3 linked regions of the Drosophila melanogaster genome follow. The gene in region 2 interacts genetically with the main gene of each other region. Each region holds a gene or a part of one and is shown on either strand. Other genes may lie near its edges.

What was found. A genetic interaction does not mean that the proteins touch.
Region 1: of kuz (region 2) and Appl, changing one enhances a phenotype caused by changing the other (phenotypic enhancement), as found in Drosophila melanogaster (one study listed by BioGRID).
Region 3: of kuz (region 2) and Hs3st-B, changing one enhances a phenotype caused by changing the other (phenotypic enhancement), as found in Drosophila melanogaster (one study listed by BioGRID).

Annotation. Positions count from the first base shown.
Region 1 is NC_004354.4:529,630-535,785, forward strand, and holds the start of Appl (beta amyloid protein precursor-like), read left to right. Parts: upstream 1-1,540; 5' UTR 1,541-1,560; intron 1,561-1,997; 5' UTR 1,998-2,169; coding exon 2,170-2,247; intron 2,248-6,156. UniProt on the Drosophila melanogaster protein: During development, plays a role in the regulation of the neddylation pathway. Appl and APP-BP1 interact antagonistically during development.
Region 2 is NT_033779.5:13,547,190-13,555,120, forward strand, and holds the start of kuz (kuzbanian), read left to right. Parts: upstream 1-2,949; 5' UTR 2,950-3,104; exon of another isoform or gene 3,105-3,231; intron 3,232-3,952; 5' UTR 3,953-4,413; coding exon 4,414-4,477; intron 4,478-7,931.
Region 3 is NC_004354.4:19,246,910-19,254,161, forward strand, and holds Hs3st-B (heparan sulfate 3-O sulfotransferase-B), read left to right. Parts: upstream 1-1,729; 5' UTR 1,730-2,231; coding exon 2,232-2,414; intron 2,415-2,829; coding exon 2,830-3,293; intron 3,294-3,844; coding exon 3,845-4,352; 3' UTR 4,353-4,365; exon of another isoform or gene 4,366-4,541; 3' UTR 4,542-5,136; downstream 5,137-7,252. Other genes in the region: CG7992 (uncharacterized protein), read right to left, coding at 1-85, 145-205; rictor (rapamycin-insensitive companion of Tor), read right to left, coding at 5,813-6,835, 6,893-7,252.

The sequences.
Region 1 (6,156 bases), on a different chromosome or scaffold from region 2:
ACGTTTCAGCTTACCGTGCACTGCCACGCCAGCCGGCTAAGTGCGTTGCGCAACTAGGTGAAATGTGCGTTGTTGTAGGTGTATAGCTCCGTGTCTGTACCAGGCTCCGTTCCTAGGTTTATGCTTTCCTGAGGCCTAGCAAGTAGGAGGCGGCGTAAATAAACAAATGTAAGAAATCTAATTTGTAGCCGGTAAGAAGATCAGCTGTGCGGCACAGAGTTGCCAGTCGCTGGGAAGGAAAAAATGAACATGTTAAATAATGTCGAAAGTGGTTTGCAACTTGGCTAAGGGCCAAGCAATAAGTGATGTGGATAGGAAATTGGGTGGTTGGTGGTGGGAAACTTGGATTTGGTCATATCTTACATCTTACATCTTACATCTTACATCTTACATATCGACGCCATCTAGTGCAGATTGGCTTCACCATTAGAAAAAGTATATAAACTCTTGAATCCATCGAGGAAAACAAATTTGAATTAAGTTTAGTGGTTTATAAAAACTCGTGCATAGGACAGCCTTTTGAAGACGGTGACCTGTGCGAAATTCCCTTGGGAGTTTCCACCTAGCGGTGTGCATGTAAACTAACTAACAAGCACTCCGCCAGACACTCTTGGTTCGCCCGCGGAACCAGTTCTCCCTAGTCACTTCTGTCCTGCTTGTTCCGCTAATACCACTACCACTGGAAGCACTGGTACCATAGTGCAGCCCGGACAGCCAAAAACATTGTCACCCCCGCGGAAAGCGGAAGGCCAGTTGCTCGATTCGCCCTTAATATCGATCCCGGGCACGCGCTCTGCATTCTGCGCCCGAGTTCGACTTTCGCAGTTCGCACTTTCGGACGTGGACTCGCAGGATTGCAGGCAACGAGACCACTCGCAGTCGTTTGTGAGCGTTCGCAGCGCCAGGTATAGCGTACAGCCAGGGCTCCAAAAACTCAGCGCTTTAGGGGCTTCTTCGGGCCACCCCATCTGACCACTCCCCGACAGCTTGGGAAGGCCAGGGGCTGCTGGCCAGTGGCTCTTGTCGTTCTCCCGCTCGGGCGGAGAGGTGGTGGCCGAGGAGCCACAAGCACAAAACCAGAGACACACATTGAGAGACCGTCAAATTTAACCAAAACAAGCTCAATACTTTTTTTTGCTGTTCAAGTGCTAAATAGTGCTAAAAAAGAAACCCAACAACAAAAACCATAGAGAAACATCCAAAACAAAGTGATACAAGTTCGGAAAGAAAAAGCGAAGCCGATGCCAATAGTGGATTTGTGATGCCAACTTAGCTGGGGGACAATAAGCAGCGCACCTGCGCAGAATCAGTGAGAAAGGGGTTGGGAAAGTGCGCAGAAGCCCGACGGATACGTTCCAAGAGTGCGGGAAGGGGTTAGCGAGTGGGTGGATTTGCGTGGGAACTGCCAAGACAGGAGACAGGAGACATGGACAAGTGACATGGGACGTGGAACCCGACGACTGCAGCTGACAACTTTTCCAGGCGCAGAACGGCGGCCATAGTGCCACTCATATTTTCCGTTTCGGGGAAGTACAATCTCAGGACCCCGAGAACCAGCGAGTGGGTATGACAGGACAGATAGCAGCGAGTACTCTCGTAGCTTTGCCTTATTTTTCTTTTCTTCCTTTTCCTTCAATTCCCTTATCCGCCCCCGCCCATCACGGACTCTCTCCTACTACGTTCCACAATCGAATACTACGGCCACTCACATACAAGCCACACGCACAGAGTTTTCCGAGTTGACATTTTCCGTGCATAGGTTTCTGGGCATCGGCGAAAGGAAAAGCGCTGCGCTGTGGGCAGCTAACTTGGGCACCGCAAATCGAACGAAATCGGAGTACGAACCTTAGAGCGCAGAAATCAGAAAACAGAAATCATAACCCAGAACCCAGAAAGTTAAAGGCTGAAACGAAAGGCCACAATTCCGAATCGCTTGCTAATGAAATTTTTTTGTGTTTTCGATTTCTTGCTGCTGCTACCGTCGTCCGCCTGTGCAGCAAAGTGTTAAACGAATAGCCAACAAAGCAAATACAATTAACCAGAACTGGAAGCACGTCAGTCCAGCCGCAGAAGCAGCTAAGTTCAGACCAAACTCGGAGATTCCCAGCCAGGAGATAGGACCAGGAGCCAACCAGACGAGGAGCAAAGAAGCAGAAAAGAGTGCGAACAATGTGCGCCGCGCTGCGTCGTAATTTGTTGCTGAGGAGCCTCTGGGTCGTCCTGGCCATTGGCACTGCTCAGGTTCAGGTGAGTCACCGAATCCCCACCACACCACACTACACCACACCACACGACATAACAACACACCACACTACAGCACACCACAACACACCACAGCACACCAGACCATTTCACTCCACTTTCGATACAATACTCGATGGAACGAAGGAGTAAGTCGAAAGAGCCGAAACTCAGAACAGAAACACAAACCGAAAATGAAACTGACAGAGAACACTGGGAAACTGGGCAAAACTGCACACTAAAACATTGTTTCGTTAGGGCTTTAATCGGGATGACAAATTGATTTAAACAGACAACTCGACGCTCGATGTTAGCCACGCATTGAAGCTGATAGAAGTCAAAACAATATTAATTCGGTGTCCGGGGAAGACAAGTAGGTCTCCAGCAATTAGGGACTTGTGTTGTTGCGCTACTGCCTCATCTGGCTTACTGACACAACACCCAACTTATGTATAACTTGAGTACGGCTCACAAAATAGCAGTGTGGCTCTATACTTTCTGCGTGCAACAGCAATACCAATCGCAACCGCAACCCACACACACAGGCACCCACACTCTCGCACACACACAGAGAGCCAGATACACAAGCACACAAGCACTTGAGCGGGTTTCTGTGGGATGTGGTGGCCGTCGGCTAAGCAGCCGCGCAAAGTATGCTACGAAAAATGTGCCATCGCTTAGCAGCGGCACTAAAGGCTCGAGGGCTTGAAGGCGGGAAAGGGTTGGGGATTGGGGATTGGGGATTGGGGATTGGAGATTGGGGATGGGTATGGGATGGGGATGGGATGGGGATGGGTGATAGGGCTGCCAAATTACTTGCGAGTGTGCGCAAGTATTGGCTTAATTGAACCGTTTGCTTGTCGCTGGCTACTGGCCAACTGAAAGCCGAAAACCGAAAACTTGAGGCTAGAGGATAGCAGCAGCTGGCTTCGACTAGCAATTTGCATATAAAAGTAGCGGAGGTGTTACCGAAACCAAACAGGGCGTGCAGACATTTTGATTTTGATTTTCTACACGCAGCGACTGGCAAATATCGTAGAAATGGAGTGCGGGGCCGGGTTATGCGTCCTTCGGTTGGGGTTTAAGTCCGGCTAAAAACTATCCGGCTCTGTCTGAGCATAATCCCCAAATTGGTCTGGGGCTGGACCTGCATTCACCACGAATCCTCTTGTTCAGGTCAATTCATCGACTGGCATACGTGCACGCACACACCTACCGACAAACCAAAAGGGAAGACATGCGTTACTAGGATATTGTTAGCTTTAGCTAAAGTGTTTTTAAATCATTTGCAAACAATTTTTGCCAGGCGGCAGCTCTCGTTCTTTGGGGCCGATCCACAATCGCCGACGTGCCTGACCTTAACAATTTTGCTTTACTTTCTTGTCTCTTAAATACCTCGGAGCAATTTTCCCTTGGCAACGCAGAGCGAACAGTCTTCTGTGGCGGAACAAAAACCTAATAAAATCCATATTCATGTGGAGACAGACCAATTGAAAGAGAAGAACCGAGGGGCAGCACCTCCAAGGACCCAGGAGCCAGGAGTTCGGCCCAATCCCGGACAGGGGAGCAGTTAAGCTGCTTTATAGCGCATTGCACTCCTTTCATGTCTTGCTTTGTATGCAGCCTGCAATTTGCTTTGCTCTCCATTCGTTCATTCACTCTCCACCCATCTTACCCTTAATTCGGCTATTCATGCTAGACCGTCGCTGCGTGCAATTCATGGCAGGACTAGCCTGGACCTGGTCAGCCACTCACCCACAGGTCCACCCTTCAGCTTCGTTGTTATCAGGGGCACGCATCGCCGACGTCATTTTTGTGGTGGTCGTTGATTACTTATGTCGCTTGCACCCACCATTCCCACCCTGCTTGGGACAACTACTGCTAAAGCGTTTTAATACCTTTTGCTTCGTGTAACTTTAATATTGGATCATTTTTCTTTGTGAAAAATGCTAGCAGTTGGTTGCAATATAACCCACATTTTCAGTAAAAAAAAAACTGTCGGCAAAGTTCTGTGTGTTTTAAGCGGGATTTCCAAAGTAGTGGTTTCCTCCAATGTTGTAGTAATGCATTACCAACTAGGGACTTTTTTTAAAAGAATTTCTGTTTTTTTGTACCCTGCCCTCCCCAGTTGCTCACCCGTTTTGTAGCTATCTCCTTTCTGCTTGTATTCTTTCTGCCCTTTTTCACTCTTTTTTTATAAGGACATGTCTGAATCATCCAGAAAGCAGGGAGGGATTTGCGGACTGCAATGTGCAATATACCCGAGAATCTCCCCAAACACTCGATGCCAACGATGTGTCTCCCTCAAACCTGGCAAACGGAACACGCAATCGTTGCTGCCAAACAGCCCATTCAAAGTCCCTTTTTACAGAGGCCTGGGGCTTTCAAAGGGGATGACAGGAGGGTGGAGAAGGGTGGCTGGGAGTCGTTGGCCATTTGATTGTCGGGTAGAAACTGCGAACCGACGGCCAACTTTAGTTGCACACCATGCTTCTTTGGCACAACTCCCCCCAATTTCACTGGAGTCAACTGAATTAGTCAGTTCGCTGCTTGCTGACTGATAGAAGGCAGCGGCGCAGTTCAGCTCTTCCCGCCCCCCACATGAGTCACCCACTGGGAGTGGAATGATTCATTCGGGAATGCAATGCAGTCGCCGCAACGGAATTTCCCACAGCCGCAAAACTTTTCAGAAATTCCGGGTTTCGCTTCGAAAATGCATCCATCTAGTACTCTTTTTAAATGCTTGTGCATCCCAACCAAAAGTGAAGCATCAAGTATTTGAGTTCATCGTTTTGAAAGCAAATGGCTCGCCAACTAGACGGTGCAACATGTGCAGGTAGAACCTTATCGATAAGCTGGCCAAAGTGGATACTGCCTATTTCCCCAGATACCACACTCATTCCATGGGAGTGGAGCAAGAGTATCTGCCTTCGGGGTTCGCCACATTGGGTTCAGCTGCAGAGACCGCAGTTCGTGATTGGGTTAAGTTTAGGATGCAATTGGGTTTGTAGCTGGTCAGCCATAGTAAGTCATTTGAGCAGCCGCATCTCTCATCCACTGACTTGTTCGATCCGTACTGCCAGCCAGGTTGCCCAGTGCTCTGTGCCCAGTGCGACCCGATTCCATTGTCATTTGTCAGTTTAAGAGTTGTCCACGTCCTGTTCATCGTTCATTAGTTGTGGTATCGATGTCACACACATGTATGCTTTGCTGCAGGGGATGGTGCGGCGGGTTGATACGTAGATGAGTGGTTGTAACTGTGCAGTGACCCCAACATCCCTGATATTCCCCACCAGAGCCCTCCTTCTTTTTGTCGTCCTTCGCCACTCGCTTGGTTTTGTTTCGTTTCGTTCCGTTTGGTTGCCTTGGCGTGGCTTGGATCGGCTTTTATTTTGGCTCGGATCGAAGGTTTAGGTTTACGTAGTCGTGTTTGTGTTCGTTTTGTCCTGGCCGTAAGAGTCCTCTCCCTTCGAGCACTCGCCCATTCCTGAATCCTGTTACAAAGCATTTACGCTTCAATGGTTTTTTTCGATTATGCATTTTGCTCATTTTCATTTCACCATTGACAAAGGCACTGGTCAAGCAGCTTGGTGGCTAGGCAGCTAAGCAACTAGGCAGCCAGGACTTTGGCTAATGTGTTCATTGTCTGTGTCAGAGTTGCAGGAATTAGGGTTAAGTGCTACTGCCCAGCTGTGCTGTTCTGTGTCTGCCTCTAGGGCTCTTAAAATCGCAGTTCACCTTCGAGTGGCAAACAAAAATGGGTTGTGAGTTGGGCGGTGTCATTTTATGCTAGTTTAACGTGGGTAAACGTGGGTCAACAACTATTATCCACTATCCAGCAAGGTGACGACTTTCCAGCCCTGCTGATAAGGTGAAATGAAAATAATACGATAACCCTTCGCTGATAATGCTGAT
Region 2 (7,931 bases):
ATATGTAGGAATAAATTCGTTTAGACGTTTTTTTTTTTCAAACGGTTTTACGAGCGATTTAATATTGTTAAATTGATTTACTGCTGGCCGTGCGCACAAATCAAGTTTTTTTGGCTTTATGATTCGTCGAATACGGAATAAATAAATAAATAAAGCCAAAACTAATCGACGGAAGCCCCGAAAAAAAGCTTTTGAAAGTGGCCCACGCAGGCGGCAAATAGCAATAGTTGAGAAATGAGATAAATAATGGCAAAAAATCCAAATTAAAGTGTAATAAAAAAAAGAGGTCTAACCACTTTTTATTTTTTTTTTTTTGCCTTCCACCAGCCGAACAGCTGAAAAAACACAAAACTGTCGACGAACCTTTTGGCCATTTGCAGCCGGTTTGCAGGGGCAGAACCAATTAAAAAATAAAACCAAAAATAATACAAAAATAGTAAAGAAAACTTTACAAATCAAAAGTAAGTAGGGGTAGCGCAGAGAAAATTAAGGAAAATCCGAACCAGTTGCAAAGCGCCAGCAGCTGATCCACCGGAAAAACTGAAAAGCGCGTCTACACAACCTGAGCAAAGGACCTGCAGCCGGGCACTGAAATTCCAGGAGCAGACCGCCTGCCACGGACGTCAACTTATGTAAAGCCGACTGCCGACTGCCGACTGCGAACTTCGGCCCACATCGCGCTGTTCACCGCCCGCCCTCCTCCACCATCGATTCACATTCACATTTTCCCATTTTCCGGCATTACTGCCGAAGTAAGTGCGTGCGAGCGAGACGCCAGCAATGCAATTTTGCGGGCCAAAGTCAGGCAGTTAACCAGCAGGCTGGTCCGCTTTTTCCTCCTCTGCTGCTCCTGCTGTTTCTTCTTCTTCTTCTGCCTGCTTCCTGCTGCCTGTGGCTGGCACATCTGTGTGTGTGTGTGTGTGGCGCCTGCGCACTGAGCGCACAGCTGACGGCGGTAGGGACCAGGACCGAAGTCCTTCAACATCGGGGAGGGGCAAAAAGCTAATCTCGGAAGTTTCAAGTAAGGTATCATAAAAAATCAAGCTCTTTAGCGTTTTTGGACTTTTACTATTTTGTTTTATTCATCTTCTGGTTAAGAGAATATTCTGCTATAAGAACTTTCAAAAAATTTAAAAACAATGCAAACTATAAGATATTCAACCACAATTGTATAAGCCACGTGATTTTAACAATCACATAATGCCTAGACACACAAGTAACCAAACTTGAGGTTGACAAACTTTCAGCCACCTTATGTAACGTGTTGCTCCCCGAGATTTTGACCGCCCAAGCGTGAACCGTCCCTGTAGTCAGAGGTTTAACCTCTGTTGCTAGGCGCCCGACGCAGTCCCTCCACTGCCGACGCCGGCAGAGCTGCGCCGACTGCCGAGCCAGCTGATTTTTGTGGCAGAGCCGAGGTGCCGTGGAATGGGGATTTTCCCGAAAAGTAACGGCTCTTTCGGGAAAAACCGTTTTCCGTATTGATTTCGGGGGGCGCTGCATGTGAGCTTCCCATAAACCAAATATGCATTCTAAAACGCCCGATGAAAGGAGTAGTTAGCTGCAGTTGGAACGAAGGAGTGGGGAGGGGAATCGAATGAAAAGAAGAAGAAAACAAGTTCTGGGCGCACAGTGGGGCAAGCTTAGAACTGTAGTGACCACTGTGCGGCAGCAGTTGAGCTTCTAGTTTGCAGTAAACGCTTCGGTCTCTCTCTCTCTCTCTCTCGCTCACGCAGGAAACCTGTTTTCGAGAATCGTTTTTTATAGCTTTTGCCACTTGCCACCAGACCAGGCCAAAATAAAAAAAAAATAAACAAAAAGTATTTCACAAGTTTTGTTTGCTTGCTTCTTTGCTGTTTGTGTTGTTGTGGTTGTTGCTGCGCTTGCTAGTTGTTTCGCTTCTGTTTATCATTTACTGTTGTTGCCACCGTTTGGCGTTTACCTTTTGCACAATCTTCGTTTACATGAAAGCGGCGACGACACGCGACCAAAGGCACACACACATTCGCACCTACACCCACACACGGACGGGGAACGCGGACAGACACACGGATACGTGAACGCAGACACGAGGTAACGGTAACGGACAGAGAAAGCGAGCACGTCCACCCGCAGCAACACTCGATGAGCATCTGACGAAGTGTTGCCAGGTGACACAACTCAGAGCGTCTTAACGAGTTTATCACTAAAAAATCCGAGCATGTTAATAATGAGCGCGCGATTCAAAATGGTTGTATTTTAACGTATACTCAAATTATCACAGTAAGCGATAGGCAAATTTAAATCAGTAGATAACCATAGCAAATGGCCCTATCCAGCTTATTAGCATAGCAACAAAACAAGCTTCTGATGTAAACAGCTTATTTGTTAAATATATCAAATTTCTAATAGTTTTCATTATAAATCTAAAATATCAAATGTGGCAACACTGGTTCCATATGATAAAGGTTGCCACCAGGCGTAAAAATATTTTCGTTGAAGTGGACGAGGGCTGCAAAATAAAGTAATTTTGGCGCCTTTTTTGAATTTAAGTGTTCAAAAAAAAATTTATGTAAATGAACGAAGAAGTACACAAGCTCACAAAACAAAATGATTTTAATTTTAATTCAATTAAACAAATTCTCTTTAGAGTTTAAAATATTATTTTGCAATAGCTTAATTTAAATAACATAAATAACATTTGTATTTGCTGTATACCTTATGCGTAAGTATCAATAATGTTTAAATATGTTTAATTAGCTGAAAAGTAAGTGCTGTTGCCTAAATAAGTTTTATTTAATGAATCTAACTATTATTAATATACTATAGTGAATACGATGAGTCATTGTATCATCTCTCGTCAATATCAGTATTAACGCACACGAAAACTAACGCATTAGAAAGATTATCTCTTTTTATGATACTGGTCACTCTAAGACTGAAGTACATTTGTATATGTGGTGAGAAATCGGGTAGTTTAAAAAAAACCACCAAGCGAGTTGGACGCGTAACTCTTTGTAACGGATCTCGGAACGCCGTGGGAGTCGGAAAATCGCTGGACGCGTGTTCGTGCGTTTGCATGTGTGCGTGCGTTCGTGTGTGTGTGTGTGCTAATGTGCGAGCGGGTGAGCGAATAAAAATAAATATATATCGTCAAGTCAGGCTTAAGAAATGTGCGCTAATCAAAGAAAATGCCCCCAATTCTGGCCAATTGAGAATTGTGGCTAAACAAAAAATTCGACCGGAGTTCAAGTGAGTGCCAATTGCGGAGACAAAATGGCTGCATTTCAACGCATTTAATTTACTGGCAACACATAGCAAACGAGAGTGAGAGAGAGAAATGTAGAGAGGCAATCCGAGAAGCAACATAAAAGAGAGAGCATGAAAGAAGTACAAGACGAGGCACACGAAAATAAGTAAACATGCAAAAACATTGTTAAATTAGCCCTATTGCGAAGTTAAACTACACATAATACTATTCACGAAAACATTTTTCTGTTTAATTATTTTGAAACAGCATTGTAAACAAATCGATTTGTTGTTCTTTTGTGCCAGCAACAACAAGCGTTTTAAAAGCAACAATAATTAATTTAATGCATTTTGTTGCGTTTGCGCCGCAGCTGTCGCTCTCTCCTTTTCCGTCTTCCGTCGCTCTTTGTCGTCTCTGTTGCATCTCCCTCTCTTGCTCTCCTCTCCGCGCTTGCTCATTGCCTCTGTGTGAGTGCAAAGGCCAATAGCTGTTTTTGTTGTGATTTTATGTTTGTTTGTATTGCTAATGTTTTGGTTTTCCAACTATTCATAAACTTATTAAACAAGAAAAAACGCATACCGAACTTATGAATATAGCGTAAATAGTAAAAAACATAATTATAAAAAAAACAATAAAACAAATAAAATTGCCTATTTTTATATTTAAATAGTATATTTTTAATAATATTAAATCAATCAAAATGTCTCGCTCTTCTGCCTTCAGAAATAAACAATCCAGTGAATAAACACACAAAATCAATCAAAAAAGAAGATTTTTCTTTTTTATTTTCGCTTTTAATTTATTAACGAGAAAATATTGGAATAAAACAAAAATAAAAATATAAGAAAAGTGTACGTGACAAGAGCTCGAAAAGAAGTTGCAACAAATAGCAAAAATAATTCGTGCGTGCGAAAAAGTGCTGCGAAGTTTTATGGCCCATGCAAAAAGTGCTAAATTTGTAAATGGCATGGAAAGTGCAAAGCTCTGATTAAAAAACCCGCGAAGATTGGAGTGCGAGGTGCCGCCCAATAACGCAACCAACTACTGCCACAAGGAAATTATTAAGACCAATCAACGACCTTCGCGGAAATAAAAAAAATAAAAAATAAAACAAAAGCAAGCAGAAATTTGGTGCTAGTTCTGTTTAGTCGACAGCCATCCACGTTGGATCCCCATCGCAAATAATGTCATCAAAATGTGCTTTCAACATTGTATTCGTATCGATCATTTTCATCATCATCGTAAATGGTAAGTTCGAAAAACTAACATTGATTAACAATGTAATCTAAATGGTTTCCGTTCCTATTTCATATAATTTTTTAAATATTTTAATTTAAAAATACATAAAGCATTGGTGTTTTTTTTCTGCACTTGACTCACTGGCAACCGAAGAAACCACAACAATCGGGGCTTAAAATGAAATACAGCCGAGGGTGCTGCAAATGACGCATAGACAATAACATTGGAATAAGTGCTCAATCAGGCGGAAACAAAGTTAACATTTTCACCCAGAACCCTTCGAGCAACAAAAATAATTACGTACTTTGCCAGGATAATTGACGAGTGAAGGATATTAGGGGGAAGGGGAAGGGTATCGTTTTGAGGGTGGAACACAGAGGGTTTCTTATAATTTTAGTAGACACTTTGGGTAATTGTCTTTGGGTTTTCTCGCCTCCCTAACTATGCTGTGGGTGTATTTTGTTATTAAACAAATGGGGTTGCTTTGCATAATTAATTTAATTTCGCTATTGTCACTCCAAGCGAATTGACAGAATGATTTTCTTGTGACCCAGAGTGTTTGCTTTCAGCAATATTCTCACTTGCAGGTGCCAAGGTTTCAAACTCAACCGACTCTAATAACAATCTATATAGCCGTGAATGTACTTTTTTTACACTTAAGTTAGCTACTCATATATGTATGTATGTTCATGTAAATATACAAATTCAGATTCTACCTATTTATTTCCACAAAGCAAGTCCATTGTTGGGGCAAAAAGAGCGAAGAAGGCGAAAAGCATAAGGTATAACGTGAGTCATGAAAACCTGAGTAAAGCTCAGGGGACTCATCCATTTTTATTGTGAAATCGTTAGCTTGGGTTTAACAAAAGGGGACTTACAAAATTTTAAAACTATATACTTCGGTATGAAACACACAGTAGGAATGAAACATTTAGCTTATACATCTACATATATAAATATATATATCAGAGTTGTGCTACTTAATTTATGAATATATTGTGTTTTGTGATAAAAAAAATGTCGTTACTGCATTGAAGACCGTTTTTTCGCCACTTCAACTAATTTGTTTGCATGGCAAGATTTTCCTAAGTTCAACGTTACGAAATTCGAGGCGGGGCGAGGGATCATGACAACAACTTCCACTCTTGGCTAATTAGCCAAAGTCAAGCAACATGAACATGGGTAAAAGAGTGAGGATTGAGGGCCAAGAATCAAGCCAAGAAGAGTGGCGGAGGCAAAAACTGGTTTATCCACTTGGCCGGCTAATCTGACAACAAAGAAAGAGAGCAGACATAAGAACCGAGAACCCAGAAGCGAGGCGAATAGAAAAGGCCAGAGACAAACAAAAAATCTGCGAAAAAGGTCAATGTCTCGGCATTATCTGTCTGGGCTGCACAAACCATATTATAATGATTAAAAATGAAAAAATTATAAAAAAATATATATATATATATATGCAACAGCTATCGGAGAAGAGTTTTTCTCCCACAAATAAGCAGCGGAAGCGAAAGAAATATATAAACCAAAAATGCTGTGAAAAGCAACAGTTCTGAGATACAGTAACAAGATACAGCTGGGAATTAAGATAAAGATACTGTATCCGTATCTTAGTTTCAGCTTGAGATTGCGGCTACTTTTTACGTAACTTATCTGCAGTTTTTTGGTTTCGTTTTTTTTTTTTTTTTGATCTTGAAAGAGACAAAAAAAACTTGAAGATTCGCTGACGAGTGAAATGAGTTTCTAGAGTCACATCTGGGTTTTTCCGGATTTTATTATTGTTATTGATAAGCTGTTGACTAAAAGTTGTTTCAAATATAATTTCAGTCGGGCAAAAAGCTTTCATAAATCACATATAGGAGATGTGGGAGAGTTTAGGATGGGAGGAGAGTTTAGGATGATAGGGCCCAGAGAACAATGGACACTTTGCCCGGGCATTTATGCAATTTTCCTTTGCTTTATTTCCCGTACGTGCCGAGTGCAACATAGTAAACAAACAAATAATGAAGCCACCATCGAAATCTAGAGATGACAACGTGACCGTGGATGAAGAACTTCGTGCTGTTTCATAATATACTCGTACAAAGAAAATGACCCACAAAACTCGTGGGTTTATTTGGTGAATCCGACCCAGATGATAGACGCGTTTGTTCTGTATTTGCCGTCGTATCTGCCAGATACAAATGTATCTGTCATTGCAAAGTGTGTTACTATCACCAGGCGGCTGACATTTATTGTTTGCCGAGTGCCTCTGCCAAATAAATGAAATAAAATGTAATAAAAAAATGAAATGCATACATGTAGCATTTATATGCGAATGTATACATGCGGTGAATAAATCCCTTAAGCTTGTTGAATGACTGAAGCGCCTGGCACTTCAAATTGATGAGTAGCTTTAATGAAAGGGCGTGACTCGATGTAAATTGCCCTCTTCTAGGGCGCTGCACATGCAGGGAAATGTAAATGGCTTTTCCGAGGGTGAAAGCATTGGTTGAATCGACACAAATGTCGTTATCCTGGCAGGTGAAATTCGTGTTGGCAATTTCCGTAACCGACTTAAAGGTTTTTGCGTGCGCATTTTAATATGCCAATTATAAACATAATCCGCCAAATCTTTATCTGATATATGATTTTAGTATATTTAAAATGGCATAAAATATATGGACGTTAAAATCCGTTTTTTGAGACATTACTAATTATTCTAGATATGGGCTTAGCACTTCCTTTGGGAAAGTGAATAATGTGTGCTCTTGAAACCTTCATTTCCACCAGGAAGCCCAAAGTTAGCCACTAAAAATGCGCTTAAATTGGATTTTATGTGAGTATTATGCTGCCTCATTATGCCAAATGGCCTAAATAACAATCAAAGCGGGACTCGCATGACACCAGTGGATTTGGGGAGTTTGAGGCCGGAGACTTGGAGGTTTGGTAGAATTTAATTAAATTATTAAAGTTACGCGGTAAGCCACAGAAATACGAGGGGTATACATAAACAAACAGACGAGCATCAGACAAAGGCATAAAAACTTTTCTTTTCTTTCCTTTTTATTCCCCTTTGCTCCCTTTCTTCCCCTTTGCCCCCATTTCTTCTCTTTTTCCCCCCAAGTCAAGTTGCGAAGCATAAACAAACAGAAGGCAAACGATTCGCCAAGACGGAGATACATTATGCACAGACGCAGCTACAGATACAAGATACACCATACACACTACTCACCATCGCACAGCAACAAAGCGAGTGAACGAAAAAAAAAAACAAACAAAAATGAAACGGGGAAGCGCTGATAAAGGAGAAAACTAAGAGAATAAGACCAAGTCAAAGAACATTTTCGTGCTGGCATTCGCTTTTCGCATTCGCATTCAACTGCAGATTCACATTCATTTGACTCGGGCACACAATTACCCACATAGATACATATTTATCCAGATATACATATGTATATGTATGCATAGGTTCGTCCTTTAAGCC
Region 3 (7,252 bases), on a different chromosome or scaffold from region 2:
AGTCCAGCGTTGAGGTTCCGCTCCGCAACAAAGGCGCAGATCGTATAGCCAAAGATCATGCCGCAGGGCAGGAAGCACAGGCAGACTGGAAGTGAATGAGACGTAATCTCTGGACAAGGATCTCCATTGGCGTGGCTAACTCACCCACATAGCTGGGCGCATATTTAAAGAACTTCAGCACCAGTTTGCCCCACACATTCGACATTTTTGCGATAGATTTGCGTTAGTTAGTCCAGCAGCAGGGAGAGGAAGGTTCGTCTATCGAAGGAGCTTAGAGCATTTTAGCGAGCAGCTGGAATGGAGATGCCTACGATGCGACGCCGGACAAATGGCAAATGGGCCGGTGGAAGTCCGGCGGAGAATTCGACTGCGACGAAGGCGGCGCAGATAAGGCGATAAGATAAGCCAACCCGACCCGACCAGGTGCATGTGTGTGGTGGCCATGGATACACGGGCGGAAAAGTTGAGGGTTTGGGATTATCTAGCCATTTCTCCGCTCGGGTTCATGAATTATGATAGTCAAAAGGAAATCCGATTATGTTGCGCATCTTGTGGAGAAATTCGTTGGTTATAGATCAATGTTTTTTTTTGTACCTGAATGTATCTTTTTTTGAGCAAGTATCTATCTATGGCATTACTCGAAGTACTATATTTCCCATTTTATGTAAATATTTTTACCCCAATTTATATGATCGAATTTCCTGGCGCTTTTTTCGCCAGTGTATCCCAAAGTGAGTGACTAATGCCGCAGTGGAATAAGCCACTTGGACAGATAAACAGATGTCCGCCGGTTGATAAGCTCCTTGGCAGTTGGCCCAACTGAGGGCCCCTACTATTTACCACGCTGCCACGGAAACGTACAATTTTTTGGCCTTTCATATGCATAAGAAAACAATGTGGCAAAGGCCATTGGGCCATTCCAACGATAGGGCTTAAAACTAATCTCAAATGGCTAATGGTGATAGGAGTACGGGCAATAGAACGTCCGGCGATAATGCTTGGTAAATTGATTTCAATCCAATATTAAATGCCAGCAAGTACTTTATCAGACGCAAATGGGGTGGTTGGGTTGTGGGTGGGTGGTTGGTTGCCAAAGTGGGTGGGGGTAAGTTCTTGGTTAGTTTGTTTACCTTTGAGCGGAAAATTGATTGAAGCCGAGAGCAAAAAAGAGAGAGAGAGAGAGTTGCGACAGGAAGTAAGAAAATAAAAGGCCGTATACGAAAAGATTATGGTCGAATAAATATTAAGATGGCATTCCCAGCCTACATAACAAACTATATACATATATACATTTTTAGAAATAATAAAAAATATTAGAAATACTACTTAACGATTGCGTTTTTGGAGTACATTTTATCATGTATTCGTTGTGAAGTTAGAAATTAACAAATCAATAATGTCTATTATTATTGCTTAATATAAATATAACTTTATCAGACTTGGAAATTAATTACTAACTTAAGTGAAATACTTATTTATTAAGATTTGATTTGTGTAGAAAGCAAAGATTTCGTCAAACCCTCACAAAGCGGAAATTCTTCAGATTTTAGTATCTTTTGATTTAACTATATATGTCTGCTTTCTTTCTTAAAGACATGATGTGATAGCAAGCTGTCACTACATTAATTATCTGCTACATTCAAGACTTGGCACTTCTTTCGGGCAGTGTACATTTGCGACGTCACACCAACGGCGATTCGACGAGCTGGCGAGAGAGCAAGCAAAACGCTCAGTTGCATAAGCGTCCCGAGACGAGAGAGGATGTGTCCAATGCGCCTGTGCGCTTCCCAGGCGCAACCATGACACGGCCGCTTCCCCCACCCATCCTGTCATCCTGCACAAACGGAGCCGAACCGGCGGCCCAGGCAGCGCTTATCCGCTGGCAGGGCACCCCAATGTCTTGGCCCTGCCTTATCCCTGGCTTTCACTTCCGCAACTCGGCTGCGACGACAGCTCCGGCACTTGCAGGCCGAACTCGTAGCGCCAGCACCACCCCAACCACACCAACCACCCACCAGCCACCTAACAGCAGCAGCAACCACCAGCAACTACCAGCAGCTCCAGCGTTGCGAACAGCCCCATTCCTTCAGTTGACTTCGCGTTGGCGGTAGCCGCCAGCCGCTGCTGCGATTGCAAATCACAATCGGAATCCGGATGCTGCAGGCAGTGCTCCGGGGCGACTGAGTGGCAATGGAATTTGACGGAGCGCTCGGAACCGATTATACCGCCAGATGCGAGACACGGCAGCCACTAGCGCCCAGCCAGCCATGATTGTGATGAGCATCTGGTGCAGCAGCCTCAGCCTGAGCAGCCGCAGCCTGGCCATCGCCCTGGTGATCTGCGTGACTCTGGTCTACTTCTCCTACAGCTTCAATGCCTGCCTCCTGGCCAGCATCAGTCGCAGTCTGCAGCAGGTGAATATGTCCACGAATCACTGGACAATGTCTAAGTGTAGGGGCTAAATGTATCCAATATCCAATGCATTTATTCATGAAAACAAACTGATAATTGGAAAATCGAATATAAAGTTTCGCTACACACATGTGTAAAGTGGAGCCAACTCAAAATTAGGGGGGGGGGGGGGGTTGTAATAATCCCCAGCGGTTTCAAAACATTTAACAAGCTGTCCAAAAGTGTGCTGTGAAAAGTTTAAGTTTTGTCTTTCGCTGAACTTTGCGATGCTATCTACATACATATATACGATTATATATATGTACATTTATAGTTGCATACTTTTCGGCATACTTACAAGTTGGGCATTTTCATAAGCCAATATGTTGATATGTTTCGCACGATGTGTGGCATTGACCTCTGACCTCTCCCGCGCAGAGCAACTTACGCAATCTACTGGCGCTGACCTCCTCGCCCCGCAACGAGACCAATAACGCCGCCAACAGCAGCAGCAGCAACAGCAGCAGCAGCAGGAACAGCTCATCCACCACCGGTGCTCCGCCGGCACAGACGGTTACTAGCAGCCTGGATGGGGCGCCCAAGTATCAGCTGCTCCGTCAGCAGGGGCTCCGACCATCGCGCCACCTGCCCGACACGCTCATCATTGGCGTGAAGAAGAGCGGGACGCGGGCGCTGCTCGAGTTCATCCGCCTGCATCCGGACGTGCGGGCCGCCGGTTCGGAGGTGCACTTCTTCGACAGGCACTACCAGCGGGGACTACGCTGGTACCGCCACCACATGCCGTACACTATCGAGGGCCAGATCACCATGGAGAAGACGCCCAGCTACTTCGTCACCAAGGAGGTGCCGCAGCGCGTCTACCACATGAATCCGGCAACAAAGTGAGCTTTTCTACATCAAACCTATTGTGATCATAATCGTAAATTGTTACTCCATCAGATTTGATAGAACTTAAAAACGGTCAATTCTTAAAAATGATATTTTTAGAATACTGCACTTTATCCACAAGACTGTATTTAGTCATAGCATACTTTTTAGCACCTATAATAGAAGTGTTGAAAATTGAAGAGAGATACTTTTTAAGGCCGATTTGATATCCCTTAAATATTGAAACCGTACGTAAATCGTAGCATACTATATAATAAAAGTGTTTCAAACGCTTAGCTGAGATTTTTAAGGCGGATATCCCTTAAATATTGAGTCCTTTTAAATATGTGCTTTATACACAAGACTTTAGAACTTGTTTTAGGTTTTATCATACTTTTAAGCACCTTAAGTGAAATGGTTTTCGGAATACAACATTCGATTTGATCAACATAGAAGGGATTAACATTATATTCTAAATGCATTATGCGTTTTACATTAACCCTACGTATCTGGACCATCAATCACTAGCATATCTTCACTTAACCTCAATTTTATACGCCCGTAGATTACTGATTGTGGTGCGGGATCCGGTGACGCGGGCCATCTCCGACTACACACAGGCGGCGAGCAAGAAGGCGGACATGAAGCTCTTCGAGCAGCTGGCCTTCGTCAACGGTAGCTACTCGGTGGTGGACACCAACTGGGGCCCGGTGAAGATCGGCGTCTATGCACGCTATCTGGAGCGCTGGCTGCTCTACTTTCCGCTCTCGCAGCTGCTCTTCATCAGCGGCGAGCGGCTGATCATGGATCCCGCCTACGAGATTGGACGCGTACAGGACTTCCTCGGTCTGAAGCGCGTGGTCACCGAGAAGCACTTCTACTTCAATGCCACCAAGGGCTTCCCCTGCCTCTTCAAGTCGGAGGCACGCTCCACGCCCCACTGTCTGGGTAAGACCAAGGGGCGCAACCATCCGCACATAGATCCCGGGGCCATCGAGCGCCTCCGGGAGTTCTACCGGCCCTTCAACAACAAGTTCTACCAGCTGACGGGCATCAACTTCGCCTGGCCATAGGATCCACGGCTGGGTGAGTAGACGGAACTGGGATACGTGCAAGGCTAGTACCGAAATGGATTGGATTGGCCAGAGGCTAGGCACCTTCACTGATCTGCTCAATTTACATATCACATCCATCCCCATTGGAGTATGCTTGACTATCCCTAAGCCCTAATCCCTAATATCTGGTATCAATTTCCGTTTCAGCGGGCGTGAAATGAATGGAGTTTGAGAATAGGAGATATTGTTGTTGCTGGCCACGGCAACGGACTGATATTGTTGATTGCATTTTTGATACATATAATTGTACTTATATATAGTATATACACACACACATAAAGTTAGTGCTCAATTAATTGTAGCTTTATCAGGAGACAAATTCAACGAAGTGCGCAACCTGAAAAGTCCGCACTCAAACAATACGGTTCCTCACTCCAATTCAATTCAAATGAAATGAAATGAAATGAAACTCACTTTTCCCACTATACTCGAATGTCAGGCAGTTGGACGTGGAGGAGCCACGTTCGATCCGAGATGGACATGGTTCCCCCGTCCGCTGGGCACACACATTGCTATGTACTACCACTACCTAAGATCATTATACCTAAGATCATTATGTGCATTTATATACAAGAATAGTGAAAAAATAGAGCTTACTACGAAATTCCTACAGTCTCCTAAACTAAACATATACAAAATATTGTATGCATAGTTCCAACAATTTCAATTGCATGACTCAACCAATACGATTGCTTAGCCAATTTCAATTAAAAAACAAACTAAATAAATCGACCTTAAATCTAGTCAGCCCCTAAGAAGATTGTTATCTTTCCATACGATTTTAAGTAAATAGCACTTGCTGGGTTTAACTTTTTCAATTTTTATAGTTTATTGATTTCATTTCATTTTGGTTTTAAAGTGATTGTGAACGATTCACGGTATGCTTCTTGCTTTGTTTTCAACAATAATGATAATTTCTTGGTTTAAGGTTTGTGTGGTCTTTTTGCTTTCGCCTGCCACTGGGTCTCTTTTAGTTTTAAGTACATTAATTAAATAAATTGCGGTGGTTTGTGGTTGTTTCTTGTTGCTTCAAGGCAATTATCCAATTTGCTTTCGATCTGCTTCTATAAAATATGTTGGTACACGCTACATAAGAAAATTATATATTATTTTTTGGGATTTTTGTCGTTTGTTGGTTTCCTGCTTACGGTTATGAATTTCTTTAAAAATAACTATGCATAAGTGGTGATCGTAAAAGTAACTATGGTAATAACTTTAATTTTAACAAACTAGTCGAAAATAACTTAAATCCTATAGTACGGATTGCCTTAATCTACGTAGCTACATGTTCTTTGATTTGATATATTACATTTATCCGATTGGTTTCGGTTTAGGAAGGCGGGCGGCCAGTAAACGAGATGTAAGAGTAGGCAGTGCGTCCCCATTGGGCTACTTCAATTGATCTTCCGCCAGTGCGTCTAGGAGTTGTCACGCACAGTTGTCAGTCCCACACCACCGGATGCTCTTCTCGCCTTCGCCACCTCATCGAGGACCGCTTCCGATTTGGAGCTCTGCAAGCGCTTCTCGCAGTACAGGCTGCCCACCGGCCTGGCCATCGATGCCGACAAGCTCTTGGTCACAGTGGAATATCTTAGGGCTGACGAGGAGTCATTGCTGCCACCGGTCCGCTGCATAATTGGCAGCGCACTTGTATTCACATCTGTCTGAACCGTGGGCTTGGACTCGATTAAACTTTCGATTGGTGGAGGCGTTGGTGTTCGCTGGCTGCGATTCTTGATGGGAAACTTGTTCTTGGTGCAGCTCAAATCGAGCTCCAGCGTATAGAATCGTCCGCGTGTGAATTGCCGGTTTTCATTCTTTAGACTTGTACTAGCATTATCAGATGCGCTTGTCCCAGCACCAGCGGAGTTTGAAGTTGCCGCACCTGGCACCAGCTGGCTTGCTGTGCATGTGCCAATGCTGCTACGATTGCTGTTTCCTGTGGGCAGGGCTGTATGAGCGGTGGTCACCGAGCTGGCCTGGGTGCCGGCTCCACTGCCGTCGCAAACATCCTCACCGGAATCATTTTCGCCATCGGTACTGGACAACGAACTCTCCGTATCGTCAATGTGCAGCTGGTTCCGGGCCTTTGCTTTCGTTTGAGCATTGGCCGGTTGATCGGCAGGCGATGACTTGTTTATCCGTGGCGACTGGTCCATCAGCAGGTTCTCCCAACTAGTCTCATAAACGCTAGCCAGTTGGGCCGCCGGTTTAGGCTTGAGAATCGTTTGCTTAAACGGCATGGCCTGCATTGCCGTGGGGGCCGTGGCCTCTGCTTTTTCCTCAGCGGAAAACTTACGTGCCCCGATTATGAGCTGAGGCTCCACGTAGAACGAGTCAAAATTAAGGTCCAGAAAGAGCTCCTGCAGGAAGCGGCGGGCTATCATCCGATAGCTACTCCGGCCTATCGTTTTGCAGGCCTCCGAATAAAGGCAAATATCCTAGAGATAAAAACGTGGTAAGTACGAACCATCATTTGGATTTCAAATGAGTCTCACCTGAAAGGCGTGCGGGTGTTTCTGCTTAAGCTCCAACAGAGCCATTTTCGACTGCTTGGCACTAACGGGATTGGCCAGACGCTGCACGTTGTACAGAATGGAGGCCGTAAGCCTGTCCGGCAGGCTATCCTCGCTCAGCATGCTCTCTGGGGAATGGAAGCTGATGTCGGCGCCAAGTGCCGCTGAAGCTCCTTGGGCAGATGAGCCACTCTTTTTAGCCAAAACTGGTCCAGCCTGGATGCCGGCTGCCACCAGAGCTGCTGCTGCACTGCTGTACAGCTCGCAGGGAGCGAGGGATGCGCCTCCTCCACCATTACTATGGCTGCCGCTGTCATTACGCTGCTGTCGCGGGGAGCGGGC